4 linked regions of the Mus musculus genome follow. The protein of the gene in region 4 purifies or fractionates together with the protein of the main gene of each other region. This does not show direct contact. Links are inferred from orthologs where the notes say so. Each region holds a gene or a part of one and is shown on either strand. Other genes may lie near its edges. The genes, in order: Bptf, Cecr2, Pole3 and Smarca1.

Region 1 (8,311 bases), on a different chromosome or scaffold from region 4:
CCTATGTGCTAGTTAGTTTGATGTGTCTTTGGCACAAGCTGGAGTCATCTGAGGATGACTGAGGGAGCTTCAATTGAGAAAATGCCTCACAGAGAACCCAGCTGTAAGCCAACAAAGCGGTAGAACGTTTTCTTAATTAGTGATCTGGGGGTAGGGGTAACCCACTGTGAGCGGTGCCATCCCTGGCCTGGTGCTCCTGGGTGCTGTAAGAAAGCAAGTCGAGCAAGCTGTGGGAGAGCAAGCCTCATCATCCTTGGCCTCTGCATCAGCTCCTGCCTCCAGGTTCCAGTCAGGTTTGTGTTCCTGCCTTGGCTTCCCTCAATGAACTGTGACTTAGGATCTGTGAGCCACACAAGTTACTTTTGGTCTTGCGTTTCATCAAAGCAACAGTAACACTACACCAGTCCACAGCAAACAGCTACATTATCTCAGAGTACTCAAAAAAGACCTCAGTGATACTTGTGATATTAGAAAGTTTGTTTTTTGGTTTTTTGTTTGTTTGGTTTTTTTTTTTTTTTTTTTTTTTTTTTTTTTTTGGTTTTTCGAGACAGGGTTTCTCTGTGTAGCCCTAGCTGTCCTGGAACTCACTCTGTAGACCAGGCTGGCCTCAAACTCAGAAATCTGCCTGCCTCTGCCTCCCAAGTGCTGGGATTAAAAGCATGCACCACCATGCCGGTCTAGAAACCCATTTTTTAAGAATCTTATTTAATAGTATCTACTTGTATACTAATTAGATAGTTAAGGCACACGGTCCAACAGTAACTCAAGCTGTGTATGTCACTATGTAGCTAAAGATGACTGTGAACTTCGTTCCTCCTGTCTCCACATCCACAGTGCTGGGATTAGAAGCCTGCCCTACAAAACCCACCTTATGGGCTGAAATCGAAGCCAGGGCTTCATGCATGCTAAGCAACCACTGTACCAGGTGAACTACATACACAGCTCTTATACTAGGGATTTAATCTGCCAGTAATACTCAAGCCAATGTTCTAAATTACAAAAACTTGTAATCAAATTAGTCTACATTACCTAAAGGACATTCCTCTTTAGCCTTGATTGTATAGCATACAGCTCTATCTCCCAACTCTCCTTCTTGGGACCTGCCTTTCTTTTCTTTCCTTTTCTTTTCTTTTCTCTTAAGACAGGGTCTCTCTATGTGGTCCTGGCTGTACCGGAGCTTGTTATATAGACCAGACTACAGACCATATTCAAACTCATAAGATCCTCCTGCCTCTGCCTCCAGAATTCTAGGACTAAAGGTGTGGAGTACCACACCCAGCCCGGCCTGCTGGAAAGTGTATCTTTCTTTTTCCTTTGGGCTTTTTGAGACAAGGTTTCTCTGTGTAGCCCTGACTGTTCTGGAGCAGCTTAAGTGTATCTTAATCTACACTTTACAAATATACACATTGGCTGGGCAGTGGTGGTGCACACCTTTAATCCCAGCACTTGTGAGGCAGGCAGATTTCTAAGTTCGAGGCCAGCCTGGTCTACAAAATGAGTTCCTGGACAGCCAGGGCTACACAGAGAAACCCTGTCTCAAAAAACCAAGAAAAAAACAAAAAAAACAAAAATATACACATTGACCTAAAGTCTCCTTCCAGAAGGACCAACTATAAAACTAATGGCACAATATCCTGGTTTCAGCAAATCACTCCCAGAATGGATACTCACTAAAAACAAGTGGACAGACTTTAAAATCAAAAACACAAAATGTAACATCCTTTTACCATCATCTGAAGAAGTAATTTGTTTCAAAAGACCAAACACTCAAGTTAATAAAGCCAATAAAGAAAGGAAAAGGCCTGGCAGCCCACATGAAAGAACAGTTTAAAACAGGAGCGCTTGCTGCCCTTCCAGAGGGCCTGAGTGTGTGTGAGATCCCTGCACCACATCGCATGGCACTCAGACCATCTGAAACGCCAGCTCACTCTGCTACCTGCAGACACCTCTACCACTCTCACTCACATAGACATACTCATAATTAAAAAAAAAAACAATGAAAATACATCTTTTTAAAAGTTATTTTTTAAAAAGTATACTGTCTGCTGTTAGGAAGAGTTGAAGTGTTTATCCAAACCTAGTTACACCAACTTGAGTTTCTTAAAAACTGAACATTTAAACTGGGCGTGGTGGCGCACGCCTTTAGTCCCAGCACTCGGGAGGCAGAGGCAGGCGGATTTCTGAGTTCGAGGCCAGCCTGGTCTACAAAGTGAGTTCCAGGACAGCCAGGGCTACAGAGAAACCCTGTCTCAAAAAAAAAAAAAAAAAAAAAAAAAACACAAAACAAAAAAAAAAAACCTGAACATTTAAATTATGGCACCTACTAGAGAATTATCAAATTTCCCACCTACTAACAGCAAGTTATCCAATCAGTCTTTTTATGTTAGAATGTCTGTTAGGAGTTACAGAATGTTTAAAAGCAAAAGTTACTCCTAAAGTTATTACTTCCCATAATCACAGGATAAGCGTACACAGAGGTAGCCTGTGTCATTCAAGAAGAATAATGGCTGGACTGGAGAGATGGCTCAGCCGTTAAAAGCACTGACTGCTCTTCTGAAGGTCTGAGTTCATATCCCCGCAACTACATGGTGGCTCACAACCATCTGTAATGAGATCTGACGCCCCCTTCTCGTGTGTCTGAAGACAGCTACAGTGAGTGTACTTACATATAATAATAAATAAAACTTTGGGCCGGAGCAAGCAGGGCTGGAACAAGCAGAGGTCCTGTCCTGAGTTCAACTCCCAGCAACCACATGATGGCTCACAACCATCTGTACAGCCACAGTGTACTCATATACATAAAATAAATAAATCTTAAAGAAAAAGAAAGGGCTGACGAGATGGCTCAGTGGTTAAGAGTGCCAGCCAACTGCTCTTCCGAAGGTCCCCAGTTCAAATCCCAGCAACCACATGGTGGCTCACAACCATCCGTAACGAAATCTGACGCCCACTTCTGGAGTGTCTGAAGACAGCTACAGTGTACTTACATACAATGTAAATAAATAAATTAAAAAAAAAAAAAAAAAGAATCCCTAACCACAAATTGCAGTTTAATTCAGCATTTTCATGGTCTTCAGTTCATCAGAACTGTTGGCCAGGTCTTCAAGGAGTTAAAAAGTTAGCTGAACTACCCTGCCAAAATGCCTCAGTCCTAACTCAAAAACTAACTTCCTCCACTACTGCTGTCTTCAGCTCAATTTTGAGCTCTTGATGCAGATGCCCAACTCGTAATTTCTTAAAGTAAAACCTAGTACTATAAAAGACACACTAAACTAAGTTGGCAAGAAATTAAACTTGCTAAAAGATAGCCCCTCCCTCCAGGTCCCATAAAATAGGCAACCTTCTTCAAGACAGGCAAAGGAAACTAGCTTTTTTCACTTGGTGTTAACCAATCTAATCTGGCTTAATTCTCATACTTGCAGCAGTTAGGATCTTAAGCAGTTATAAATGAAAACACTTAAATTTAACCACTCCTAGTACCCTCATCTTCTCTGAAAAACGGTAGACAGGCTCTCATAGGAAAAACCCTCATATGTCCTCACTTACTTTGTAAATGTCCTTACAATTAGATCTTAATTTTATCAATCAGGTGAATAAAAACTTAAGAAAAAGCCTGAAAGTCTGTTGCTACAAGTTAAGGGTCCCCCCCCCCCATAACTATTCATTTAATACAAAGGAGCAATTGCACATGTGCCTTTTACTTGACCCACATCTCAGGACCCACCTCAAGAAATTATTCGAGAAAACATCAGAGAATTCACCACTACTGATGAAGCCCACCGCTGATTCAGGAAGGGCTTTTTCCTCAGAAACAGAATAACAAGAAAAAGTCCTGTCGGGTCCAATCTGACACTTCTATACCGTGACTTCAAAAAGTTCATCTTTGGCAATTGCGCCTAGATGATCAACCACACATCTTCGGCAACAGGTGCCACGAAACTGCCATCTCCCACGCAAAGTCAAAATCAATCTGGTTAGGACACACGGCCCCGTGGTGTTATACTTTTATTTGGAACTTAACCAGAGTACTTTTAAATCGGAAGGATTGCCAAACTTGGTTTGGTCTAGTTTTCTGCTTTGCTCTTTAATCAGCATTTACCAGCAACTGTTGCACGCGACCATGAGTACTCACTCGAAGAACACAAACAAGCGCTCAGGACCCCAGGAAGCTCCCAAGCTCACCGAACAACAATCCTTCCTCCAAAACAGTTACCAAACTAGCTAACTAGGGTGTAGGAAAGGGAGAACGTCTAGGTGTGGTACCACCATCGAAATTCTCTTTTAAGGAACAGATAATTTTTCTTTTAAATCTAAAACAAAACGTATTAGACATGCAACGGTTTGCAAAGCAGGAGGCTTCTTTCATCGCAAAATAAATAAATAAAATACTCGTACCAAAACAAGGGGAGAAAGACGAACTCAATGGATACTTGTGTGCCAAAGTTTCAATCCTGCCTGGTGGAGCCACCGCACTTGGCACAAATTTTGAAGGGGATAAAGAGGGAGGGGGGAGAAGAGCGAACGAGTCTGTGGCCTGCAAACTGCAACAATGCAATCTCCATTTTGAACAATGCGCCTCTTTCCTCTTGCAAATCTAGTTTTGTTTTTGTCTTTTTTTTCTTTTTTTTTTTTTTTTTTTGTCACTAGACGCGCCGTGGCCTCCGCGTGGGGGACAGGCCGGGAAGGGGGGGGGGAGCTAGGAAGCAGGATGCACTGCACTGGAGAGGGAGCAAGCCAGGGGGAGGGAGGAGGTGGGGAAGGAGTCTCCCGGCGGCCTGGGTGGTTACCTGGAGTGCTGCTGTATGTACTATGGCTCCTGAAGCTGCTTTCCGTGCAGTAACTAGCGTCGTCGTCGTCGTCTTCCATCTCCTCCGGATAATCGGAGTCATCGTCGTCTTCTTCCATGTCATCTTCCTCCTCGTCCTCGGAATCCTGGGTCTCCTCGGCGTCGCCATCCTCCTCCTCCTCCTCGTCCTCCTCCGAGACCATGTCCTCCTCCTCGTCGTCGTCGTCACTCTCGTGGTCATCGTACACCACTTTGTTGACGGCGCGGCGGGCCGGGGTGGTCCGGGCCAGGTGGCCGCCCCCGCCCCCCGTCCTGCCGCCCCCGCCTCCTCGGCCCCCCCGGCCCGGGCCGCTGGCGCTGCTGCCGGAGGCCGGCGGTGGCGGTGGCGGCTGTTTCCTGCGGCCGCCCCCCCTGGGCGAGCTCAACCGGGTCTTGGGCGCCACCTCAGCCTGGGCGGCGGCCCACCTGCCCCGACTGCTGCCGCGGTGCCGCGAGCGCAGCCCCCCTATGGGTCCGGAGGCGGGCGGCGGCGGCGGCGGCGGTGGCGGCGGCGGTGGTGGCGGCGGCGGCGGCGGCGGCGGGGCCGGGGCGCAGCGCTCCGCAGCAGGAGCCGCGGGCTGCTTGGGCGGCCTGCCCCGCCGGCCCCTCATGTCGGAGCCGCGGCTTGCGGGGGGGTGGGGGGGGAGCGGAAGGGGTGGGGGAGGGGCGCGGGGGGCGCCGGGGCCGAGGGGGAGGGGAGGGCGCCGGGGTCCGGGCGGGAGGGGCGCGGCCCGGCAGCGGCGGGGTGGAGGGAGAAGGCTCAGTCCGAATTGCCGGGGCCCCGCTCCGGATCGCCTGCAGCCGCCATCTTGTTTCTTCCCTCTCGCTCGGTGACTGGGGGAACCGACAGCGGCCGCAGGCCCGGAGCGCGGTCACGTGAGCTGCGCCGCCCGACGAGCCTGGGACAGAGCGAGGCGGCGCGGCGGCCGCTAGGGGGAGCGCGGGAGCGGCGCGGCGGGGGCGGGGAGGCCCCGGAGCGCCCCTGCGCGGCTGCACGGCGGCGGCGCAGGAGCGAGATGGGTAGCGTGGGGTGTCCCCCCAGGCTGGGGTCTCCTCCTGGGAGACCACCTCCCCCTCAGCTGAGGTCTTAGGGAGACCTCAATGCGTGTCTCCCAAACCGGGGCCGGAAAACAGGGAATTTTCCTCCCAAGTCGCCGGTCCTTTTGGGAAACTAATGCAAAAAAAGGGGAGAGGGGCGTCTCGCGTAGAGGCACGACTTACAGACTGGGGGCAGTCACTACGCAAAGCCACCCACGCAGGTACAGGAGCTGGAGCTAAGTCAGTCCCAATAGAGAGCTCCCAAAGGCTTGGATCTAGAGGGTCCTGAAGTTGTTCCAGGAATGCACGCTGGGAGCCACACCCCCAGCGTGGTTTCACTGACTTTCCTGAGTTCCCACCCTCAGAGCCCGGGGTTAAATTCCAGAGCGTGGTTCCTAGCGGCCTCCAGGCACCTTTCTCTCTTCCCAGCTACGAACTTCCACACCTCAGCCAGAACTTAAGGATAGGAAGGATGGCGTCCTGTCTAGAATTGGCTTCACAAAGTTATGTGTTTGTGTTACCTGGAAATAATGTCTACCTGACAAATTACCAGTCTTGGTTTGACCTAGGGTGCTAGTCACTAAAGTGAAATCGCAGGCACATGCACCAAATGTTGCTAAATTGAGGTGGCTCAACACAGGGTCCTCGGGGTGGACTCTGGAAAGAAAAGAAAGGTTTAAGGAACCTATATGAGTGATTATTAATAGATGTGAGAACAGAAAAAGTAATTTGAAGAAAAATCGTTAATAGGATTCAGCCCACTAACTAACTGACTTATTACAATATAGTTCGGTGAATAGAAATGAAGTGAAAATTACTAATTGCCAACTAAGTTATTATGTATTCACTTTGGTTGATCTCTGAGAGTGGTAAACTTACCCACAGGGACCTCATAAGACACCAAAGGAAAGAAAGTAAGCCACAAGAGTTCTTGGGTAAACAAAGGCTGCAGCTATAGCAATGCAGGCCCAAATAAGCAGATCTTCTGATATTCCTTGGTGATAGTGGGTGTTTTATTTTGTTTTATTAGGGCAAGGTCTCGCTGTAAGGCCCTGGATAGCCTGGAAATCACTATGTAGACCAGGCTGCCCTCCAGCTCCTAGTAGAGATCCACCAGCCTCTGCTGGGAGCAAAGGTATATGGCACCACACCCTGCAGTGGTGGGTTTTGCCAGACTCTCACTATGAACTCCAAGCTGCTGTCAAACTTGTGAACCTCCTGCTTCAGCCTCACAAACTCTGGGATTACAGACAGGTCCCTCCATGCAGGTTTCAAATCTTCTATATTTTTCAAGAGACTATAAAGGTTTTATCTGAAACGTGTTTGTACATTTGTTTTTAGATAGAGTGACCTAGCCTGGCATCAAACTCTGGGCTGTGGGGTGACACATGTGCCATTATGCCTCTATCTATCTATCTATCTATCTATATATATATATATATCGTGTGTGTGTGTGTGTGTGTGTGTGTGTGTGTGTGTGTGTGTAGACAGAGTAAAGTTATTTAACAGACAGGCAAACAGGATGCCTCATGGGTAAAGATCCTCGCCACCACACCTTTTGGCCTCTGTTCAATCCCTGCAACCCACAAGAAGACAACCTTGTGGGTATAACAGCAAGCCTTTAATCCCAGCACTCAGGAGGCAAAGGGCGACCCAGAGATACTGTCTCAAAAATAAAGAGAGGAGAGATCCAGCTCCCAAAAATTTCTCTTCAAAGTCTACAAACCCACACAAAAACACAAATAAGGGCTGGAGAGATGGCTCAGTGGTTAAGAGCACCGACTGCTCTTCTGAAGGTCCTGAGTTCAAATCCCAGCAACCACATGGTGGCTCACAACCATCCGTAATGAGATCTGACGCCCTCTTCTGGTGCATCTGAAGACAGCTACAGTGTACTTAAATATAATAATAAATAAATCTTTTTAAAAAAACACAAATAAATAAATGTCAAAGTTTTTTTTTTTTTTTTGGTTTTTTTGAGACAGGGTTTCTCTGTATAGCCCTGGCTGTCCTGGAGCTCACTTTGTAGACCAGGCTGGCCTCGAACTCAGAAATCCGCCTGCCTCTGCCTCCCGAGTGCTGGGATTAAAGGTGTGCGCCACCACGCCCGGCTGTCAAAGATTTTTTAAAGATAACAAATATAGGGGCTGGTGAGATGGCTCAGTGGGTAAGAGCACCCGACTGCTCTTCCGAAGGTCCAGAGTTCAAATCCCAGCAACCACATGGTGGCTCACAACCATCCTTAACGAGATCTGACTCCCTCTTCTGGAGTGGCTGAAGACAGCTACAATGTACTTACATATAATAAATAAATAAATCTTTTAAAAAAAAAAAAAAAAAAAGATAACAAATATATCTTTAAATGTTAACTTGTTTTGAGATAGGGTATTATGCTGGCCTCAAATTGGCTATGTAGCTGAAGCTGTCTTTGAACTCCTGACCCTTCTC
Region 2 (7,746 bases), on a different chromosome or scaffold from region 4:
TCCACTGGTTTGGTGGGATAGGTTGTCTCATCACTCGGCCATCCATCATATGACCAAGGGTATGAGGGTGGTGAGAGGGTCCTGGCCCCAGGTGGGGCTTCTCATCTGGCCCCAAACGTCCAGGGTTTGTAGTACCATGGTTCCCATTCCAAACAGCAGGGTGTGCTCGATTTAGATACTTGTATGAATGATAAATATGACCGGGAGGAATTTCAGAGCTTTCAGGAAAGTCTGGGGGTCGGGCTGGAGTCCCACCATGCCTAGAAGGAATAAATCCTGCCTGGAATGGAGCTGGTGGATACATGTTTCCATCTTGACTGGGACAATTCATCTGCCCAAGCTGTAAGGATGGGACATGTGACCCCATATTGGAAAGGTCTGGAGCACTGAGCAGGGATCCCCGATGGTTACTAATTCCAACTGGAGCCTGATAACAGAAATGGTAAGAAGAGAAGAATGTGAATTCACAGAACAAAACAAACCTTGAAAGATGCTACCTCTTAATTATTGCTGCAGAACCGTCCCAGCTGTCTCTCTGCAGACTGCTTACCTGTATAGCAAAGGGTGGGTGTTGCAAGGGCTCTCCTGGGGGAGCCTCTGGGATTCTAGAGGAGCCATGTAAGTTGGTGGGATCTGATCCTTGAAGAGAGCCAAATGTTCCTGGTGCTGCTGGCCTCTGAAGGCAGTGAGTAAAGCAGAAAGGGTGTGAGGGAAGAACAATCAAGGAAAACAAGTCATTCCCTAAGGATTGCTATTAATGTGCCCTATGGCAAGGAACTGCCTCCAATCTCAAAGCAGCTTCTCTCTCCAAGAAAAAAAAAAAAACACTTATCATTTTGTTTTGAAAAACAAAAACAATCACCTTCCGAACCACAATTAGAGAAATTTTAGGCATTCTGGATACAAGTACAGCCCACAATTATTTATTTATACATGTTTGACTAGGGTCTCATGAAGCCAGGTGGGCCTCAAATTTGTTGTGTAGCTGAACTACTTCTGGCTCATCTGCCTGTCTGTGTGTGTGTCACACAAACACACACACACACACACCCATTTTTCAAGACAGGGCTTCTCTGTATTAACAGTCCTGCCTCTGCTTCCCGAGTGCTGGGATTAAAGGCCTGTATCACCATCTGGCCTGTCTCCATCTCTTAAGTTCAAACATCACAGGTGTACAACCACCACACTCACTTTTATGCTGTGCTGGGGATCAAACACACACGTTTTCATATGTGCTACATCTCCAGCTCTTTATAATGAAATTTTAACGTTTAAACAATATATAGGTGAGTTTTTTTCCTTACCATCTGGTTTAAAGGGGGTGCGTGGCTAGGCACCCTACCACAGTGCAGGGGGCGAGAAAAGCCTTGGCCATGTGATGTGCCCACCTCTGGAGGGAGTTGTATGGAACTCCTACTCTGATCGTCCCCTGAGGAGGCAGCTCGGCGTGCCGGGGGCAATGATTTTCCCCCATTCTCCACTGGTGGCTGTTTCCTGCTCGACCCTTCTGTGTCTCTGGAGCGCGTCCAAACATGGCTTCCACTACTTCTACCAGACCGACTTCTTCTTTTTTCCCGTTTTTCATCCTCTTTGATCCAAAATTCTTCATCTGTGTCTCCATCTTCACCAGGAAAATGTTTTGTCATGGCCCGATGGAAACACCGCTCTAAATTGTCAGACATCTTGGTATACTCTAGAAGGAAGACAAGAAGACTGACCACCAGGGTACATATTTTACTATACACAAAGACAATTATTGAAAATAATAAGGAAAGCTACTTCTGGAAAATATTACACTGCAAAGCTACAGATACAATATGAAGATCTGGTTTCTATAAGTATTCTGCTCAAGGCTTTATGGCTGTGACATAAACTATAGTATGTTATCTCAAATTAGTGAAATTTTAATTCTTTAGACTAAGTTACTCAAACTAGTATGTACTATAATTGAATTTGCTTTGTTTTATAGGCTGTAGCATTTTTGTGTTGATGCATGAATCAAGACAAAAGTCTCAGGATCATTAGAAAGTTTTGCTGCATGGTAAGTTGAGAGGAAGCCCAGGGATGTTGCTCAGCAGCAGTGCTTGCTGAGCATCCAGGAAGCATTAGATTCCATCTCCTATGTAAAACACAATGGCAGGAATTCAAGGTGGATTCAATCTTGTCTGTGGTAAAAAGGCCCAGTACAACACAGGCCAGACTTCTCTGTCCACAAGGCCGAATGAGAACTCCTGGGACACTGTGTAAGAAACTAGAACCACAAATCCCATGACTGTTGGTATACATTCTGTCGGCCGTCCTAAGGCAAAATAGGAAACCAGCAATGGTGGCACATCTGAGATTAACTGTTGGTCTTACAAAGGACCTGGGCTTAGTTCCCAGCACCCATGTGGTGGCTGACAATCATTCATAGCTCAAGATCTAAATAAAGGATCCAACAGCCTGTTCTGATCTCAGTGGGTATAAGGCACAGTGCACTTGTTTTAAAAATCCAAGGTAAGCTTGGACTATAGCAACTCCATCTCAAAAGAGAAGAGAGTAAAGTCTGAAACACAGACACATGCATGTGCAGTCAGCAAAAAGGCCTCATCCACCTACCACTACTGTCACCATTGTATTTTCGGCAATTTCTGAACATGGTCTTCATGTCATTTACAAATTCCTCCTTGTTACAATATAAACCTCCGTTTAATTTCTTCTCCATGCTTGAAATATCCATGGGGATCTAAAAATGGAACATAAAATACTGTAAGTGGCACAGTGGATTTAATCCCAGCACTGGAACTCAGGAGGACTGACACAAGTTTGAAGCTAGCCTGTGCTACATAGTGACTTCCAGGCTAGTCTTGGTAATAGTAAATGAAGCCTTGTCTCAAAACAAGATAAAACCAATTAACTGCATGCCGCCTCCAATCACTTTTTATGATGAAGAGCAATCGTGACATTTTAGATTTTCAAGAGACTGGTATAGCTAGGAGTATATTGGCACACACTTTTAATCCCACTGCTTAGGAGACAGAAGCAGGCAAATCTTTCTGAGTTTGAGGACAGTCTGGTCTATGTAGTGAGTACAAGATCAGCCAAGAAAACACGGGGTCCTGTCACAAAACAAACCCTAACAACACATACACTTGTATGTGTGTCTGTCTATCTGTCTGTCTGTCTCCCTGATATTAAGGAGGACAGAAAAGCAAGAGAAAAAAACAGTTCTAGAACCCTGAGTTTGAATAACTTGTCCTCCGAGGTAGTAGTGTGGCTTTATGAGGCTGCAGAACATTAGGAGGTTGGGCCTAGTTGGAGGAGTGGATTACTGGGGGACGTTTTACAAGTTATACTGCAAGCCATTTACAGCCCTAAGTTCTGGTTGGCCACCAAGACGAAAACAAGCTCCTACCACCACAGAGCTGCCCGTTACCATCAGTATTTGTTCAGTATGATGGAAAAATGACTAATATAGAATCCAAGCAAAATACAGATGCTTAAGTACAATTTAAAAGATACCTTAATAATCTGGTAATAGTTGGGGGCATACGATTCATCCACAGGTTCCAAGAAGGGCCAGGAATCCTTGTGAGCCTTCACCACATCTAGAACTGGAAACCAAAAAGGAGAATATAACTGACACATTCCTGTGGAAAGATGTTCATCAAGAACACCAAAGCTGAGAATGGCAACTAACCTTTATACATGGCTGTGAAATCGTCATCCAATTCAAAGCTGTGAACCACAAAACACAACATTAGTTTAACTGTGACTGCCATTTTTCCTTAGCTTTCTTGGATCAAATACAGATTGAACAGTGCTTTTTACTTTCCTTAAGCAAGTCCAAATACTGATCCCAACTCACTGGAAACATAAGGATGGTAGATGGTGAACGTTGCAAAAAGGACTATCATATTCCCTACAACGAATTCCATCTCCAATGAAAGACTGGCTTAAATGATCTAGAACTTTATTATGACTTTGTAACTACAAACATATTATAAGAATATTAACCATATCAGTTTATTTTTATGAAAATAGGGTATTGTTATATAGTTGTCCTGGAGCTCAGAGTTTGTTGCCTTTGTTTATCCAGTGGTGAGATTAAGGGCATGCACTTTCCTTTTTGACCCTTGTCTTCCCCTGCCATGGTTCTATTCTGGCATACCTTCATGACTAGCTGGTATTAATGTACAACAGCCAATGCCACTATTTTAAAAAGTAAGATACTTCCTGATCATGATGGTGCTTTTGTAATGCCAGCACTGAGGAAGCTGAGAGAGCAAAATGGCAAGCTCTCGTCTTAAAACGTAGGTCTAAGCTGTAGCTTAGTGCTAGAGCACTGCCAACACGAATACTTAAAAGTATTGGGGATTCAATACCTAGCACTGCCAAACAAGCAAATATAAAATATTCTATATATGCCAAAGGAACAAGTTCCCATTAATAGTAAATTCTGGTGGCATTGAAATGCTGGGGTAATAAGAACCCATCTTTTCCTGTGCCAGTAGATTCTAAGACTGGAAAGGAGGGTAGTGATTCACTTAAAGAGTATGTATGTAAACAATGCATTTGAGTCAGATCTGGTTTTAAGGCCTACCACTAACACTTGCTATGCTTTCTTACCATTAAAATGTAAAAGCCACTGCCTTCCAAACAGGCCTTTTTGTTACAAGGATTAAATGAGAGATGTAATTTTTTTTAAAGGTGCATTAATGAGTACACGGTTGCTGCCTTGAGACACACCAGAAGAGGGCGTCAGATCCCATTACAGATGGTTGTGAGCCACCATGTGGTTGCTAGAAACTACACTCAGGACCTCTGGAAGAGCAGTCAGTGCTCTTAACCACTGAACCATCTCTCCAGTCTGAGACATCTAACTTTTTAAAACCAAGAATTTTATTTTTGACCATGTATATGTGTCAGATTCCCCTAGAGCTAAAGGCACTTGTGAGCTGCCACGTGAGTGCTGGGAATCAAACTCCAGTGACTTGAAAGTTGATTTTTCAAGACAGCGTTTCTCTGCATAGTTCTGGCTGTCCTAGAACTAGCTCTATAAACCAGAGCTGACCTCAAACACACAGATATCCGCATGTCCACTGCCTGGTTTGAGAGATGCTTTTCATAAAATATGCTTCTTTTTGTTTTTTTTGAGACAGGGTTTCTCTGTGTAGCCCTGGCTGTCCTAGAACTCACTCTATAGACCAAGCTGGCCTTGAACTCAAATCCGCCTGCCTCTGCCTCCCAAGTGCTGGGATTAAAGGCTTGCGCCACCACTGCCTGGCCAAAATATGCTTTTTTATTGCGTGCGTGGGTGTGTATGTACTCCTGAGCCATCATGGTCCATGTGTCAGAGGACAATTTGCAACAGTCAGTCCTCTCCCTACAACATGTAGGTTCCAGGGATACAAGTCAGATCATTGGGCTCTGCGGCAAGTGCTTGCAGAGAGAAGTGCTTAAGGTGGCCAGCTGCTATTACTAAATACTCACAGGTCCTTGGTCTTCTTCCCTTCCCTCATAGGAGAATTCAGGTCCAAATGGGAAAGTTCTGGGGGTAGCTCCTTGCCTTGAGCCAATAGCCATGCTCGTTCTTCCCTGAGCTTTCTCCTCTTAGCTCGATCTATAATGAATACACGAACATAATCCAGGTAAGCACCTGTGCCACTGCTCCTGGGACACCTGTGAGCCATCAGTTCTGCGCCAAGCAACTGCATTCATTTCACTCAAGTACCACAGCAGACAGAATCTGTGATGATCCCAGTTAAATGTCACTTTAGGCATGAAACTCTTTTGCTTTTTAGAGGGTGGTGGGAGGGAGACAGGACTTCGTGTACCCCAGGTTAGCCTCAACCTTATTATGTACCCAAGACATGAACTCTTGATTCTCCTATCTGATCCTTCAAAAAAGGAATAGCCTTGCTCATTATCATAAACCTGCCTGATATAGAATGGGTGTATAAAAACAATGTCACTTTGGGGACTGGAAGGATGGCTCAGTGGTTAAGAGCACTGTCTGCTCTTCTAGACGACCTGGGTTTGATTCCCAGTACCCACCTGGTGCTCACCACTGTCTGTAACTCCAGTTAAATGGGGACCTGATATCCTTACACAGTCATGCATATAGGCAAAACATCACTCACTGGACATTTAAAAAAAAAAAGTCACTTCAAAAAACTGCTTCAGCTGGGTGTGTGGTCACACGTATACTCAGAATGCTTGAGAGGCTGAGGCAGGAAGACTGCTGCAAATTAAAGTCAACCTGAGCCACATAATGAGACCACATCAGACCACACACATGGGTGTGTGTCTTGTAATTTAAGTATTATTAATCTTATTTACCCTGTTCCCCCCCAATAAAGTCTTAAGGAGAGGGAAAGAGAAAGGGAAAAGGTCTTGAGAGGGCACACAGAGAGAAGACATCCAGATGTTCAGCTGGTAAATGCTACCATTAGCCAAGAAAGCAACTCATGTTACTCTTTGTGTTGTAAACCTATAGATAAGCACTTGAAAGACAGAAGGAGGTAGATCTCTGTGAGTTTTAGGCCAGTTTGGTCTTCACTGTGGCACCCATGTCAGCTATGGCTACAGGGAGACCCTATATACTCTAAAAAACAAAAAACAACAGACAAAAGAAAAATCTCACTATAGCAAGACTGCAGTCTACAAAATTTTGACTCTACAAAAATTGCCTGGCACTGGTAATCTCAATGGCAACATTCTGACATGCGGTATGACAGGAAGATCCAGGCTAGGGATGTAATTCAGGTGATAAAGTGTTTACATAGCACGGAGGAAGTCCTGGGCAGAAAGCATCACATAACCTGGCAGTGGTGCCCCCATCTATAATTTTAGAACTTGAGAGGTAGAGACATGAAGCTGTTCAAAATGAGTTCAATGTCAGCCTGAGATACATAAAACCCTGTCCAAAAGACCAAAACCAACCAATCAACCAACCAACATCAAACATTCCCTAAGCATATACCATTGCATCTATGAAAGTAGCTGCCAACATCTTAATGTCTTTTCTTTCTTTAATTCTGTATAAAATGTATAGGACACAGCAGAAATCCAAATATAAAGCAGGGCATTGAAAGGACAAATACAATTGGCTTTGGGCAGAATTTAGAGAGCAAGGCTGCATGGATTTAGATGAGGAAACATGACAGGATACAAGTGACAGGACGTTTACACAGTCGCAGAACAGCAGAGATGAAGGATGACGGCCTCAAGTTCTCACCCTGAACCATGACATACCTTCCACTGCCTTGACCTTTTCCTCCATTTCCCGCTTTCTCTCCTCCTTTAACATCTGCTCTTGCTCCTTCTTCTGCACGGCAAGAAGGAGCTGTCGCTCCTCCTCCTCCTCCCTGCGCTTCTGTTTTTCTATCTTGGTGAGCATGGGAGTTTCCTGTAAGGGGCAAAAGTGCATGGAAGTTAACAGACAGCAATTGCAAGGCTTCTTCACTGAGTAAAGAGCTAGTTTACAGGTTCCAACATATACTAGTAGACAGAGGATTTATACTTCATAGAAGGCTGGCTTTATTACCTGTGAAACGTGTGCATCAAAGTACAAAAATACACACATATGAAAACATAATGGGAGACACATACCAGAACCTTAGCACTGAGGCTTATGAATTTGAGCTACCAAAAGACTCTTCTCAAAAAACCAAGATGGACATAGTGGTATATACCTTTAATCCTAGCACTTGGAAGACAAGAGTTAAGGGCAGCCAAGGCTACACAATGAGATCATGTCTCAAA
Region 3 (7,371 bases), on a different chromosome or scaffold from region 4:
TTTGATCTCATTGAAAGCAAAGGTATATTCTAGGAAGATCTACTTGGTACTTAGTACATACAATTGAAATTGAGTTCAAAGGACGTCACAGGATTACAAATGGGCCTTGAAGGGTAGGTCTAGCACCGTGCTCTTGGGAATTAAGAAACAATGTTTCTTCTGGGAAGGAAAAGGCCTATTATTAACCAAAGGACCACTGCAGTTCTTGGTGAATTTTGATTTATAAATTTTACTTATGACTTGAGAACTGTGTGTACTGGAGAACATAGAGCTGTGGTTAATAGCCGGGTGTGGTGGCGCACGCCTTTAATTCCAGCACTCGGGAGGCAGAGGCAGGTGGATTTCTGTGTTCGAGGCCAGCCTGGTCTACAAAGTGAGTTCCAGGGCTACACAGAGAAACCCTGCCTCGAAAAAACCAAAAAAAAAAAAAAAAAAAAAAAAAAAGAGCTAGTAGAGGCAATAGCAATGTTGCTTGATGAGAATACTTGAAAGTACTTAGAACTTAATAAGTGAGAGCTAGCCGGGCAGTAGTAGCACACACCTTTAATCCCAGCATTTGGAAGGCAGAGGCAGGTGAATTTCTGAATTCGAGGCCAGCCTGATCTACAGAGTGAGTTCCAGGACAGCCAGGGCTACAGAGAGAAACCCTGTCTCAAAAAACCAAAACAAACAAACAAACAGAAGTGGGAGCTAGTGAGATATGCAAAGTAACCAGGAGAATCTCAGGATATGTTGGCTGTGGTTAAGAACAGTGCCCTTAACTTGTGATACTCATTCACCTGCTGGTAATGCAAGACACAAGACTGTGTGCCTATGTGTGAGGGTAGGGGGAGAGAGAGGGGGGTCTTGGTGAGTCCTTTGCAAAAGCACATTGTATGAGTCATCATTTTAAACAAGAATGTTCTTTATTTGTAGAAAGCATTAAAATCTTCTCAACAGTCTCCAGTCACTCTCACCAAACTCTTCCCTGTATTACTAGTAAACAGTGTCCAACTATATTACATCACCTGTCAGCCTCAAGTGCACAACTAAGACAGGAAAAAGTGCTTGGAGCACTCAATGGGGAAAAAGAAAGGCCAACAGACACGTTCGAAGCCACAGCAGTGGTGCTACATTCCTGAGCACCATTCCTCTTACCGTAAGGTTCAGAGGTGTTCTCAACTCTCTTTAGAAGGCAGGAGATTAGGACTAAGGAATCTGAGGACCTTGCACTTTGGAATATGACATATGTTATCAGAGTCCCTAGACTAGAAGATGAAATAAGTAAGAGGAGGAGAAAGCCGGGCTGGGAAGCAGAAGCCAGAGAGATGGAGACAGAACAGGCTGTGCCTGGAAGAAATAAAGTCTCTGGAACTTGTTATGAGCCCAGGGAATGAAAAGCAGCAGCCATAAGTCTGGGAGATGGATCTGGGATTTTATACCTTCCAGGAGGTAGCACTAGGACCTACCATGGCAGGCACTGAGTTACCTCCAAGATTAAGCCCCTGCTTTTAAGAATTGGCACCTTTTTTGACAGATTCTAATCAACACTCAGAATTAAAGAGTGTGTGTCCTATGAGTGCAGCCACCCCAGACGACTGAGCATCTACAGTCACTAGAGGACTACAAAGCTAAGTAAGTCTAGAAAGCCAGACACCAAGTAAGTAATGCTACCATCAGGTGAAGACATTTCCTCGTTCGCTCGCTCACAGCTCCTTAGTCATCTCCTAGAGAGCAGCCATTCTAAGCACGAGTTCCTATGGTCAACTACTGTACAGTCAAACTGGGTGACCAGGCTCAAAGCCCCATTGTTTCCCCCTGAGCCTTTAGTGCTTCTGTGACTTGGAACACTGCAGGCAACATGGATGTTATTACTTATTCAGAGGGGCAGGGAAATGGGATCAGAAACTAGCTAGCCATATACTTTAAGTAGACAAGCAATACCAAACTATGTAGTCACTCAGAATCGCTTATTCAAAAACATCCTAACCTGCAGACTGATGACGCATGACCGGTTTCTGTAACTCAGATGCTCTGAGCCTGGGAAGAGTTCTTTTTGATCTTTCTGGTCAGCTTTTATTTTGATCTCAGGCACCAGTGCCGAAGATGGCTCTGCCTTGCAGGGAAAGCCTTCACACAGACATGTCTCAGGATCTCAGGGTCCCCTCCACCACGCCACAGTCTGCCTACTCTCTCCATTCAGTTGTCTATTTCCTCCTCTTCGTTCTGGTCGTCCTCGTCCAGTCTCTCTTCATCCTCCTCCTCCTCCTCTCTGCTTTTGTCTTGCTCTTCGGAATCCTTTTTGTCTTTGTCCTTCTTCTTTTGCTCCGAAGCCTCCTTCTTGCCTTTCTGCTCCCGCCTGTACGCTGTAAGGAAGCAGGATATTATGGTTTAATTAGACAAACCGAGGCACAGGTGGAATAACCAGGCCCCTATCACATACCCGAGATGGTACCAACTAAACAGAGGGGAGTTATGACCAGTCCTGTATTATTGAACGGGACTTAATGGCACTGATACTGATGAGCATTTTTTTTATATATGGTTTAAGAGACAGAAGAGTACGTGGATACCTTCTAGAGCTTCTTTCAATGGTGTTATGAATCGCTGGAATTCCATCTCTTCCATGGCTGACAGCACGTCACTGGCATTGAGAGTCTTGCGCTTTCCTTTCATTGCGAAGTTATTGGCACTGGAAGAAAGAGCAACGCCCTTCAGAAGCTGTCAGAGTGGGTGGAGGCATGACCCCCAGGAATGGGGTGGGAAAGCCGTATTTATCGTAGATGAATGGATTGTGTGTGTGTGTGGCATGGCTCAGTTCATCCCCTTCCCATACAAAGGGCTACGGTAACCGTCTTGTTTAACCTGCTCCAGAATGTGTGACAACTGGAAGAGAGCCGTAAGTCGCTCTCTACTGAGGCAGGGAACTGGGGCCTGTAGGTTCCAGGCCACGAACGCGGGGTCAGGATCCCGCTGCGCCTCCCTTCAGCCTCTGCTCAGCTCACCAGGATGTGGCATACAAAACGAAGACACTGGCGGCGCGGGAGATGGCGCTTCGGGCCTCCTTGGAGATGTTGACACCGTCCGGGAGCTGCGAGGAGAGTGGAGATGAACACACACGCGGATTCTGTTAACCTTCTGCCCACACGTCCGCCCTCGACCCATTCGCCAGCCCGAGCGGCTCACCGCCTCCTTGATGATCCTGGTGATGACGGCGTTGGGCAGATTTAGGTCCTCGGGCCTCTCCGCCATTGCCTCCGCTGGGGCCCGACCCTCCTGCTCAGGTCTCCAGACAGTTCTGGTGTCTGGACTTCCCGCGTCGCTAAAATATGACCCTCGGAGGCTTCCGTCCTACCCCACGTTGCCAGTGTCCCACAGTGCTTTGCGCACCACAGCCTCTCTGCTACATCAGCCCCGCCACAAGTCCCCAGTGTAGCCCAGCTTTCCATGTCGCAATGGTTTAGGACCATTGAAATTTCCATCCGCTTCCACGGCATCCCGGACGTTCCACTCCAGGCTTGTTTCTCTACTACACATCGCGAGAGCTTTCGCACCACACTAAGTTTGACTCTCTGAGGTTTCCGTCGATTCTCCCAGCGTGCCGTTCGCCGCTGCTAGGCAACCGTGTGGCCTGGTGCCTAGCTTGGAAAGGGTAGGCGTAGACTGAGCCGGGAGAGGCGGGACTCGGACTGCCAAGTGGGCGGGGCTCTCTATAAGAGGTGGGCGGGGCCAAAGCTTTAACGCGCTTTCGCAATCTCAGCATTGTCTCCAGAGGCTCAGAACGTAGTAACTCTTTGGAATCTGCTTTGATCCCGCAAAATCGCGAACGACTGACACTTGAGTGCCCACCGCCCTTTTTTTTTTTTTTTTTTTTTGGCTCGGAACTCAGTGTAGATTTTCATTCAATTCTATTGCACCGATTGATGCAGTAGTATTGTCCATCTTTAATCTTATGCCCTTCACAACTTTGTGATAATTATATTAAGGATAAGTGTTAATCTAAAATTTCGTTTAAAAAAATGCCATTACTTTACTAGGACAGCAGTAACAAGGGCAATATCAAAAGACGCCTGATGAGACTTCGGAGCTCAATTTGGTCTGGTTCGGTACTGAAAGCGCAAGAATCATTTGATTGTAAGAATAATGCATTGTATTCTCATTCAAAAACCCAAGTTAAAGTTGTATTTTTTAAATCATTAAGTGATTCATTGTATATTTTTCTTATCAAAAATCATCACTTGATTTTACATTTTCAATGTTGCTTTAAGTTGTATAATTAAGTACTGAAAAAAATACTCCTACTGAGAACTAATGCTGGATTATTTCCTTCTTTTCTTTTCTTTTCTTTTCTTTTCTTTTCTTTTCTTTTCTTTTCTCTTTTCTTTCCTTCCTTCCTTCCTTCCTTCATATCTCTCTCTCTCTCTCTCTCTCTCTCTTTCTTTCTTTTTAAAACATGTTGTTCCAAAACGTGTTTTTTTTAAAATTTTTGATGGGGACATTACAAAGAAGTTTTTCCCTATTTGGAGAAACAAAACAAAAACAACCCGACAGGGTTGGGATGATGAACAATACTGAGGGATTGTTCTGGTGGAAAGAACTCTGCACTTAGAACAGGCCTGGATTAAAGATGTCATAAGCCTTAGTTCCAGCCACTATTTATCTAGAACTGGTGCTGTCAGGCCTTGTGATCTAGGAGAGAAGCCAGAAAGCTAACATTCTGGACCATTTCAGTTTTTAAAACATTGGCTCAAAGTGCTTGCCAAGCTAAGTAGGCCAGGTGCAGCCCAGGCCACTAGATTCCTATCTCTAATTTAAATTAGAAGCTGTTTAGAACAGAGAGATTGTTTATTGCTACTCTCTACGCCCCAAACAGGTCCACTCATTTGACAGTCAGTAAATGTGTTGAATAGAAGAAGAAACCGACAATGTCCTTAAAAGTTAGAAAGGGGACAGGGTGAGATGACTCAGTGGATGAAGACACTTTTGGGTTGAAGACTGTGTAGTCTCTGGGCTCATTTCAGGATGGCCTTCCTGCTGACCTTCTCATGTGCCCCATGGCACCCATGCCCACCAAAGAAATGAATACAATGGAATTATATGTTAAAAGGAATAAGATAGTTGTAGTGACTGCATAACATCTTTAAAAGAGGGATTGATAATAGTTTAGTATAACTTTATTTATTTCTCTCCCTGTGTGTATAATGTATGTACTTGCATGTCTGTGAGTATGGACATTCACATCCCTTGCCATGGTGCTGGTGTGGAGGTCAGAAATTGGGCACTGCCTTCTACCTTAAGACAGGGTCTCTTTTTGGCTGTCCACAGTATCTGATGACAGGGCAGCCCATCAGCTTCAGAGGATTCTCTGCTTTGTTTTAAGTAGGGGCAATGGGATTACAGATGTCTGCTGTGCCTGGTTTTATGTGAGTTCTGGACATTTGAACTCAGGGCCTCATGCTTGGCCCTCCAAGTGTTTTAGCTACTGAGGCAACTCCCCAGCCTGATATTATTTACTGGGTATTTGTTATAACTTCATACACAGAAGTTTATATCTTATATGATTTGTCTACAATTTTAAAATATATTTTTAAAAGATTTGTTTTATGTATGTGAGTGCATTGCAGCTGTCTTCAGACACACCAGAAAGGAGCATCGGATTCCATTACAGATGGTTGTGAGCCATCATGTGGTTGCTGGGAACTGAACTCAAGACCTCTGAAAGAGCAGTCAGTACCCTTAACCACTGAGTCATCTCTCCAGCCTGTTTCTATAATTTTTACAAAAATAATTAAAACATTTTTGAGATCATAATATAATGACATCATTTCCCCTTCCTTTTTCTTCCTCCACACCCTCTCAAGTACCCCTCCCTTTTTCAAATTCATTGCCTCTTTTTCTTTGTTGTTACACACACACACACACACACACACACACACACACACAGAGGTACAATCTGTCCAGTCAGAATAATGTTATTTGTATGTATGTTTTAAGGGCTGACCATTTAGTATTGGATAATCAACTTGTATGGTCTTCCCTGGGTGAGACTATTTTTCAGATCTTGGCATTCATTAGTTGCCTGTGGTTCTTTATCTAGGGTTGAGGCTTTTCTTTTCTGTCAGCATGTTGTTGTTCACGTGCCCTTATTCGGCGCGTGTTTAGGCAGTTATGTTGGTGGAACTTCATGAGTGTAGCTTCTGATATTTACAGTCTCACTGCAAACCCCTTGCTTCTCTGGCTCTTCTCATCTTCCTGCCCCTTCTTCTACAGTAGTCCCTGTGCCTTAGCTGCAGGAGCTGTGTTGCCAATGTATCCGTAGGGACTGGGCTTTGTGACTGCATTCTGATTGGACTTTGTTTTCAGTAATGATCTCTGTCCTATGCAAAGAGAAGGTTCCTTGATGAGTGGTGAGGACTGCACTTATCTGTAGGTAGAAGGACAAATGTTTAGAGTGTAGTTAGGGACTGTCCCGGTTTAGTAAATGGATGGTTGTAGGTTCCCCTTTAAGATCCGTGACGTCACTAGCCCTGAGTAGATGACAAGGCTTCCAGGACCAGGTACATTTCTCACATGTTGAGCAGGGTCATAAGATCTATTAGAGAGTTGTTGGTTCCCACCAAGGTATGCATGCCTCTATTGCAACCTTAGAGTTATGGCACCATGCTGGTCATTGATGTGGTTTGTAGGGCCATAGCTGGGTAGTACTGTTGGTTGCTTCTTTCCTTTGGAAACCTGAGTAGCACCTTCTGGTACCATGAAAGATAGTCCCCAGGGAGGAGGCTCTCAGGCTAATCTGAACCCCTTGTCTGAAGTGTATTGTGTCTTCAGTAATAGGGACTTACTTTCCTCCTTTGCGGGTAACCAAGGGCAATAGTAATAGTCTATAATGTTTTAGGAGTCTCTTGGACAACCCTGACCAACAACTAAAGAGAGAGCTTCTCATACCTGGTGTGGTGGTTTTTGTTAGCCGGTCTATGACTCTTACAGGGAGCACTCAGATGGGGAATTTCACTTAAACTGTATATGGACATTTATATACTGACTTAAGTGTATTGTAGGTATTTTAGGTAGATAGTGAAAGAAGGATTCCTTGTGACTATTTCTCCTGTTATTTTATCCTCCCTCCTCCTGTATTTATTTCCCTTCCCTTCCTAATCAGAAGCCCCTCATTTCTTCCTTTAGATCCCTGGTGTCTTGCTATTTCCCTCTTGTTTTCTTTAATTGTTGGTGTGTGTGTGTGTGTGTGTGTGTGTGTGTGTGTGTGTGTGTGTGTGTGTGTGTTCCTACAATTAAATTTTTAAATTTTACTTTATGCGTATCACATAAAATTTATGTTTGGCCTGCATATATGTACCACACACAGACAGTGCCCGTGGAGGTCAGAAGAGGGTA
Region 4 (7,746 bases):
CGTCTTTACAGTGATGATATTGGAAGTGAAGACTGGAGTTTGAAAGCAGGAGTGAGCCATCAAAAATGCAACAGGTGTGCTTGTCTAGGGCAGTGAAACAGGGACCACAGCGCAGGCATTTATGGGATGTAATGTAGTGTGGCATTTCGTGAATTTGGTAAGGATAGATACTGCCATATTATGCACCATTATGCACCAAATTATGGAAGGTCTTTAAAACCATACTTCAAAGACTTTTATTTTGGATATAGAGGAGTTAAAGAAGACTTGATGATAGGAAGTAACATTATTAGATGTCAGGAGGATAACGCTGGAAGCACTCTGTGGGAATGAGAGAGTAAAACCAGAAGCCAAGGTGAAGATAGTTGCAGTAATAATCCAGAGAGAGATCATATGGACCATTGTAGATCCTTGGGACAAAGAAAAGGCAGAATATAAGTCATGGTAGTATATGTATAAGATTTAAAAAAAACATTATTTATTTGTTTATATCCCAAACGCTGCTCCTCTTCCAGGTCCCTCCCTCACCAAGTCCCCTCCCCTGATCCCTCCTTCCCTTCTCTGAGCATTAGGTTCCCCCCTGGGTATCCTCTCACCCTGGTACATCACGTCTCTGCCAGATTAGGTGCATCCTTTCCCACTGAAGCTAGACAGGGCAGCCATGAAGACTGAGCTACCTGTCTGCTACCTATGTGCCAGGGGGCCTCATTTCCAGCCAGTGTATGTTCTACCAACAGAGTTCAGATTCTGAGAGCTCCCGGGAGTTCAGGTTTGTTGTCTTAGTTGGTCTTCCTGTGGAGTTTCCCTCTACTTCAGGGGCTTCAATCCTTCCCCCAACTCTTCCATAGGTGTCCACAACCTCTGTCTAATGTTTGGCTGAGGGTCTCTATATCTGTTTCAGTCAGACGCTGGGTAGAGCCCCTCAGAGGACAGTTATGCTAGGGTTCTGTCTGCAAGCATAACAGAGTATCACTAAAAATGTCAGGGATTGCCCATGGGATGGGTTTTGAGTTGGGCTGTATATTAGTTGGCCCCAGGGGCCCAGCCTGACTACAGGAAATGGCCTCTACAGGTTTCACATCCGTAATGTTAGTCTTCTTGGCAATGACTCCTGGGAAACTCCCCCATCCCTGGTCTCTGGGCCTTCCTAGCGATTCTCCATTTTCCCTCACCCCAGTCAGCTGTAGATTTCCATTAATTCTCCTGGGCCTCTCCCCATAACTAATCTTGACCCCCCATTTCCCAACCTCTCCACTCTCCCACCCAGTTCCCTTCCTCCCTTTCCTCCCATGACCATTTTGTTTCTCTGAAGTGTGATTTAAGTATCCTCACTTGGGTCTTCCTTCTTGTTTAGCTTCTTTGGGTCTGTGGGAGTGTACTGTGGGAATCCTGCACTTTATGGTTAATGTCCACTTATAAGTGTATACATTCCATGCATTTCTTTTTGGGTCTGGGTTATATCACTCAGGATAACATTTTCTAGTTCCATCTATTTGCCTGCAAGATTCATGATGTCTGCAAGATTTTTTTTAAGACCTAAAGAAAACCTTTTAGTTTAACAAATGATAATTTTGCGTAACATTCTTTGTTTGTGTTGGCATGTTTATATGCCATATTATTTAGATTGTTTATGATGCTTTATTTTCTTTTTGGCTTTCAAGGTACCTGAAATCATTTGCCTATCTTAACTGCACACAGATAATGTATTTCATTATATAATTTTCATACTTTACACATGTTGTGTAACTATTTTCTGGTGAACTATTTTAGGATCAAGAGTTCTCATCTTTAGCCAGATGACTCGACTGTTAGACATTTTGGAGGATTATTGTATGTGGCGTGGTTATGAGTATTCTCGACTGGATGGACAAACCCCACATGAAGAAAGAGAGGTGAGGACAGGACAAGAAAGTGAAGCAAGACGTCAAAAATTAGCACTCAGTTGCACAATGTTTCTTTACTGTTGTTTTCAATTTTGGTCTGCTCTACTGCTCAGTGATACTGACTTCCTCACTGCCACCATGATCTTTCTTCTATCATCACTCTTCCATACTTAGTTTCCATTCCACTGATTTTTCCCCCCAAATCATCCTAGACTCTTCAGAGATATGCTTTTCTAAGAATATTATCTCTATTGGCCACTACCCCAGTTGATTACTGTCTCTCAAACTGACACCCCGACTTCTGATTATATGTTTCTTTTCTTTCTGAATTTGTGTACCATGGTAGACCCTGGCCATTTGTGGAGTTTAGTAGTGGTCATTTGGATGATTTATGATTAACCAACTCTAGTATTGAAGGAACAGTCTTGACTGTGGAGGGCTTTTGTAAAAATGAAGTATGACAAAATAAGTGTAGATACTTATGAGTTTGGGATTTTAGGTGGTAAAATGTTGGTTTGTAAGTATGAATAAGTACACCTACCTAGCACCCAGTGTGTTCTTCATATTTTGAAATTCTTGTAAGTCTTTAGGGTATCTATCACAAAAGTCATGATTGAAAGGCACTTTAAACCCATTAAATCACTTTGTGGATGGCTTTGCTATTTCTTTCTCTCTTTTCTATGATCCTTTAGCTCTCTTTCTCTCTCTCTCTCTCTCTCTCTCTCTCTCTCTCTCTCTCTCTCTCTCTCTCTCTCTCTCTCTCTCTCTCCTCACATTATAGGCAAATGAAGAAGATTTTACAGTATAGTGGAAGTACCCAGAACTTGGTTTGAAGACCTGATTTTTAGCACTAACACCACCACTTTCTAGTGGCCATTTAATTCTATAAACCTCAGTATCTTTGATAGTATCACAAAGATAAAATTGGTACTAATACTTCTTCCTGATGACAGTGTGAGGGTTGGTGGCTATAATAGGTACAAACAGTTTATATCCATGCAGTGCACTGAGTTCTGTGTGACAGGACATTGCACACAGGTCTTTCTGTTTGTTTCAGGACACGTTCTCAGGCCACAGGAATCTCAGCTTATGTTCCTCTACTTCCACAGTTCCTTCCATTGACAAGACTTTCTGTCTCTTATGAACACCCTTATTGAAGCCTGGCTATCGCATTCTTCAGCTTTGCCAACAGCACACAGACTTTTATGTTAAGGCTTTTCTGCTACCTATTAAAGGAAACAGTTATGGTAACTTTTGTACATAACCGAATGCTTAAAAACTTCAATTATTTCCCACCTTATAGCTAGAAGTTCTCTGAGACAGTTCTTTCTTGAAATTTTTGTTGACTTAGTACTGAGAACCCATTTCTTCATAAAGCATAACACTTATTACTGTTCAAGATGAATGCCCTTTTTTGCTATTATGAAAAGGATACCAAGGCAATATTTAGTAGGTATTATCTGGCCTCAAAATGCCTGTTGTCACTCCTGACCTATTTCCCTATTCATTACCTAGCTATATGGAAATTCTTGTGTTTTTAATTTTTTTTAATTTTTAAATTTTTCTGTTGTTTCTTTTATTAATTAATTATTTATTTTATTTCATTTATTTATATCCCAAATGTTGCCCCACCCCCCCTCACAGAGTTCTTGAATCCTCCTCTTTGTGCATGTGTGTTTTTCTTTTTTAATCTTCAAGTATTATTCTTCGTTCAAAGATTTTGAATTACAGGCATCACATTTGAGTACAGAGATGTCAGACCCATTCTTTCCTCTGGGAGATGTCTTGTTTATATTGCTATTCATATAATCATTTCATGTCTTTTTTACATTTGATTCTTTGCTCTGTGTATAAGCAGTGGAGATTTTTCCTCTCCTCTATAGTTCAGACATTTAACCTTTCCCTATGGGAAACTAACTCAGCTAGTTCTGCCTCTGACCATCATTGGACTTAATTGGTTTCACTTTTATAGGGAAAGGACTTAACAGTTAGCAAGAAGCTAATATAGGCTAGGCACCCAGTGGTTCTCAATGATTCTCCCAATAATCTGAGTCAAGGTACTGATAAACTTGTGCCACATTAAATTGTGTCTCAGAGGAGTCAAAGGCTTGTGTTTCAGATGTGGATATATGGCTGAGTTGTACTTCACTTCCAGGTTTTTGCAATTTTCTTTACACCAGGGTGCCTGTCATCAAACCTTTTTGTGTTCTGTACTCCACGGTATCATGTTCTACTGACTATAGTAATGCTAGGCACCAAGTCTCACTAGAACTTAGACCATCTTTTTCTATTGCATTAAAAAATAACTGAGCATTTTGTGACTATATATTTAATATACGAGTACTGAGAGATTTACAAAATCAATTATCTCTGGAAAATCTTTATGAGAAATAATATGTAACAAGTTGGTACCAAACTTTATATATGTGCTATATATAAAGTTCAGAATATTAGTACTTTTAGTCAGGATTATATTGCTTTTTATCACTATAGTTTTAGGAAAATATTTAGCCTTAATGATGTACTGTACATAATATGTCCCGTTATTGCTGATGATTTAGGTTGCTTCCAATTTTTCACTGTTATAAATAATAGTACAGTGAAAGTCATTATACATATATCTTGTGCACATCTCTGATATTTTTCCTTAGGATAAGTTCCTGGAAGTGGAATTATTGGGTCAAAGGGTATGAACAGTATTAAGGCTCTCAGTGCATGTTGTCAAGTTGCTTTCTAGCAAGGTTGTTTCAATGTACACTCTCAGAAGCAATGTCCCTCTGCTCCCTCATCAGCTTTGAGCATTAATATTTTGATTTAGCTTTAACATGTCATTATATTGTCTGTTTGCATCTGTTTGATAACTAGTGAGAATTTAACATTATTCTTGTAGCAGTTTTTGTATATTTGTATTTATTCTGTGAGTAGAAATTCTTCTCCTTTCAGGTTCATTGTTTTATTGGAGACAGCATTTTCCTAATTAATTTCTACATGAACTTTGTATAGAGGATATTGACAATGTATTAATTTTAAAGATTCATTACTAAATATTCCTGGACATGTCATTCCGATTTTCTCAATTATTTTTCCTTTGTCATTACACTGATACAGATTATCTTACTCTCATTTGTATTTCTCAACTTTTCTGTCTTGTTTATCAGTCCTCAGAATGATATTGACATTCTGATATGTTTCCCAAATATACATTTCAGCTTTTAATTAATTGGAATAGTTTTACTATTATTTTCAAAGGATGCAAACGAATGATTTGCTTAATTAAATTTATTTGTATGATTGTTTTATGTTTGTCTCTATTGGTTAACCCTTGCAAATTTCATGTATAAAGACATATTTTCTCCAGCAACTTACACAGTAAGTATAGATAAACAGTGTGGAAGATGGAAGAATATTATAAACTGTTAGGTTATGAAGAATTTTATATACAAGTATAAAAGTATTTTCTGTGAGCATGCTAACTTTTCTCTTTCTTAAAATTTGGAATTTAATTCAATTTTTCTCTTTTTATATTTCTTTATTAATTAAAAAAAGGAAGCGATAGATGCCTTCAATGCTCCAAATAGCAGCAAATTCATCTTTATGCTGAGTACTAGGGCTGGAGGACTCGGAATTAACTTGGCAAGTGCTGATGTGGTCATCCTATATGATTCAGACTGGAATCCACAGGTTGATTTACAAGCTATGGTTAGTAACATTTAATGCTATCAGGAAATCATTGAACCACAGAATGTTATTGTTTACATAGAACAAAGATAATGCGTTATTACAGTATAACAGTTTTGGAGTGATTTTTGTAAAGGTTAGATAGAGTTAAAGTTGCTGAATTAATTGTGAAAACAAATAAAAAAATAAACGCTAACAGATATGCTTCAAATAAAAGTGTAAAACTTACCTATCTATATCTAATCTATACCTATATCTATATGTATATCTAATTTGTATATAACCTATATCTATATCAGCTATATCTATATCTAATTTATATCTAATCTATATGTATGTCAACTTTTTCCTATCTTGAGTATTGAGGAGGCTTTCTGAGTTTATTTTAATGAGAAGGATAAACAATCTCATTATTTTGCTTAACAAGTGCCTATTAAAATCTTTAGGTCAGGCATGATGGCTTTTAGTCCTAGCACTCAGAAACAGAGGCAGGGGGCTCTCTGTGAGTTTGAGGTCTACTAATGAGTTCCAAGTCAGCTGGGGCTGTATGGCTGGATCCTGTTTAAAAAACAAACAAACAAACAAACAAACAAACTTTAGTACTGAAATTCGAAAACGTTAGATTTTAACGTCTGTAATAAAATAATTGCGATGAATAGGTAAAAATGGAAGAAGAGAAAGTTTGCTGTCTGTGTGTGAATGTGCATGTTGCGTACATTTGTGTGGGCGTGTATTCCTGAGAGAGCACATGTGGAAGCCCGAGATTGACATGAGGATGTGTTCCCCAACTGCGTCTCTCTCTTATGCTTGAGACAGATTCTTTTCCTGAAGCTGGAGTTTGCCACTTTGGCTTGACAGGTTGGTGAGTGCCCCCAGCCCTGCCCCAACTCCCAGCCTCAGTGCTGGAGTTGTAAATGAAGGGCACCATGCCTAGCTTTGATGTGGGTGTTAGAGACCTCAACTTAGGTCCTAATACTTGAACAGTAAGCACTTTACCCACAGAACCATCGAGTTGTGTGTGTATGTGTGTGTGTGTGTGTGTGTGTGTGTGTGTGTGTGTATTTAAAAGAATGTTTTATTTTACCTTTTATCACAATCTGGTCACTCAGAGATTACTGGTTGGAGTTTAAAGTTTTACATATTTGTACAGTATTGAATCCTCTCTGAAAGATTATTGCCACTTGGTTATTGGATTGGATTGTTTTCCCATTTACTATAGGGACTGTTTTCAAGCCTGTTTCTTTGATTCTCCCCACCTCCTCTCTGTTCTCATTTGCTCTGTCAGTTTTTGCATTTTAAACACACTCTCCACATGCTTATATTTTGCCAGAAGTTGCCACCTTTGCTAATTGTAAACCATTGGAGCAATTCTAGAATCTTAAAATTATGAAGATCTCATTAATATTTATGAGCTTTTACTATGTATCTCAGAATTGCCTTGGTAAGCAGAAAGAACTGCTTGATGGTGAGATAAAGCAGACTTTGGTAGCATAGCAGCCCTTGCTAACTTCTTTGTTCCTTTAGAAACTCCTTGCTCATCTGGAGATGTTTGCATTTAGTGAATTAACGTTGCCCAGTAACTCAGTGCAGAAGCCTTAGCTGCTGTTTGTCCTCATCTCAAAGAGGCTTTGCCTTATGACATTCTGGAAGTTTCCCAGTAGCAGCACAGCACGCTTCAAGATTTCTTTGTTCCCAGAAATCTTTGGAAATCCTTAACATTTATCATCCTCCTTTCAGAAGTGATAGGTTTAGAGAGATTGAAGTCTGAATTTTATTTTCAGATATTTATAGCATTGTAGTTATATGTCTAATTCTTGTCTACAGTCTCTAGCATATTACAGTTGGACTTTTTCTGTTAGGATCGGGCACATCGCATTGGTCAGAAGAAGCCAGTACGAGTCTTCCGTCTCATTACAGACAACACAGTGGAAGAGAGGATTGTAGAAAGAGCTGAGATAAAACTGAGACTTGATTCAATTGTTATACAGCAAGGTATTTCTATGTAGAAGCTTCTTTAATTTGAAGAGGTGCAAAAAACATTTAGTTTCCTTCAAAAGATACTGCTTTTCAAGAAAGGTTGACTGAAAGTTACAAACAGTGAAAATAAACTTTTTTCCTTTTATTTTTAGCTCATATTATTATAATTCAGTCATTTCTTTCCCTTCTTCCCTCCAAACCCATATAT

The links.
Region 1: the proteins of Smarca1 (region 4) and Bptf purify together in Homo sapiens (affinity purification with mass spectrometry; 4 studies listed by BioGRID and IntAct, with this or other methods). This does not show direct contact. The link is inferred for Mus musculus from reciprocal best matches to the Homo sapiens genes SMARCA1 and BPTF.
Region 2: the proteins of Smarca1 (region 4) and Cecr2 purify together in Homo sapiens (affinity purification with mass spectrometry; 3 studies listed by BioGRID and IntAct, with this or other methods). This does not show direct contact. The link is inferred for Mus musculus from reciprocal best matches to the Homo sapiens genes SMARCA1 and CECR2.
Region 3: the proteins of Smarca1 (region 4) and Pole3 purify together in Homo sapiens (affinity purification with mass spectrometry; 3 studies listed by BioGRID and IntAct, with this or other methods). This does not show direct contact. The link is inferred for Mus musculus from reciprocal best matches to the Homo sapiens genes SMARCA1 and POLE3.

The regions. Positions count from the first base shown.
Region 1 is NC_000077.6:107,126,487-107,134,797, forward strand, and holds the start of Bptf (nucleosome-remodeling factor subunit BPTF), read right to left. Parts: upstream 5,662-8,311; 5' UTR 5,437-5,661; coding exon 4,788-5,436; intron 1-4,787. UniProt on the Homo sapiens protein: Regulatory subunit of the ATP-dependent NURF-1 and NURF-5 ISWI chromatin remodeling complexes, which form ordered nucleosome arrays on chromatin and facilitate access to DNA during DNA-templated processes such as DNA replication, transcription, and repair.
Region 2 is NC_000072.6:120,750,496-120,758,241, reverse strand, and holds part of Cecr2 (cat eye syndrome critical region protein 2 homolog), read right to left. Parts: intron 7,391-7,746; coding exon 7,237-7,390; intron 5,603-7,236; coding exon 5,473-5,602; intron 3,718-5,472; coding exon 3,680-3,717; intron 3,594-3,679; coding exon 3,502-3,593; intron 2,726-3,501; coding exon 2,599-2,725; intron 1,694-2,598; coding exon 1,305-1,693; intron 677-1,304; coding exon 551-676; intron 428-550; coding exon 1-427. UniProt on the Homo sapiens protein: Regulatory subunit of the ATP-dependent CERF-1 and CERF-5 ISWI chromatin remodeling complexes, which form ordered nucleosome arrays on chromatin and facilitate access to DNA during DNA-templated processes such as DNA replication, transcription, and repair.
Region 3 is NC_000070.6:62,521,766-62,529,136, forward strand, and holds Pole3 (DNA polymerase epsilon subunit 3), read right to left. Parts: upstream 3,250-7,371; 5' UTR 3,232-3,249; coding exon 3,166-3,231; intron 3,071-3,165; coding exon 2,985-3,070; intron 2,672-2,984; coding exon 2,553-2,671; intron 2,346-2,552; coding exon 2,179-2,345; 3' UTR 2,033-2,178; downstream 1-2,032. Other genes in the region: 4933430I17Rik (uncharacterized protein C9orf43 homolog), read left to right, coding at 4,053-4,113. UniProt on the Homo sapiens protein: Accessory component of the DNA polymerase epsilon complex. Participates in DNA repair and in chromosomal DNA replication.
Region 4 is NC_000086.7:47,852,402-47,860,147, reverse strand, and holds part of Smarca1 (probable global transcription activator SNF2L1), read left to right. Parts: intron 1-1,770; coding exon 1,771-1,892; intron 1,893-5,429; coding exon 5,430-5,582; intron 5,583-7,420; coding exon 7,421-7,553; intron 7,554-7,746.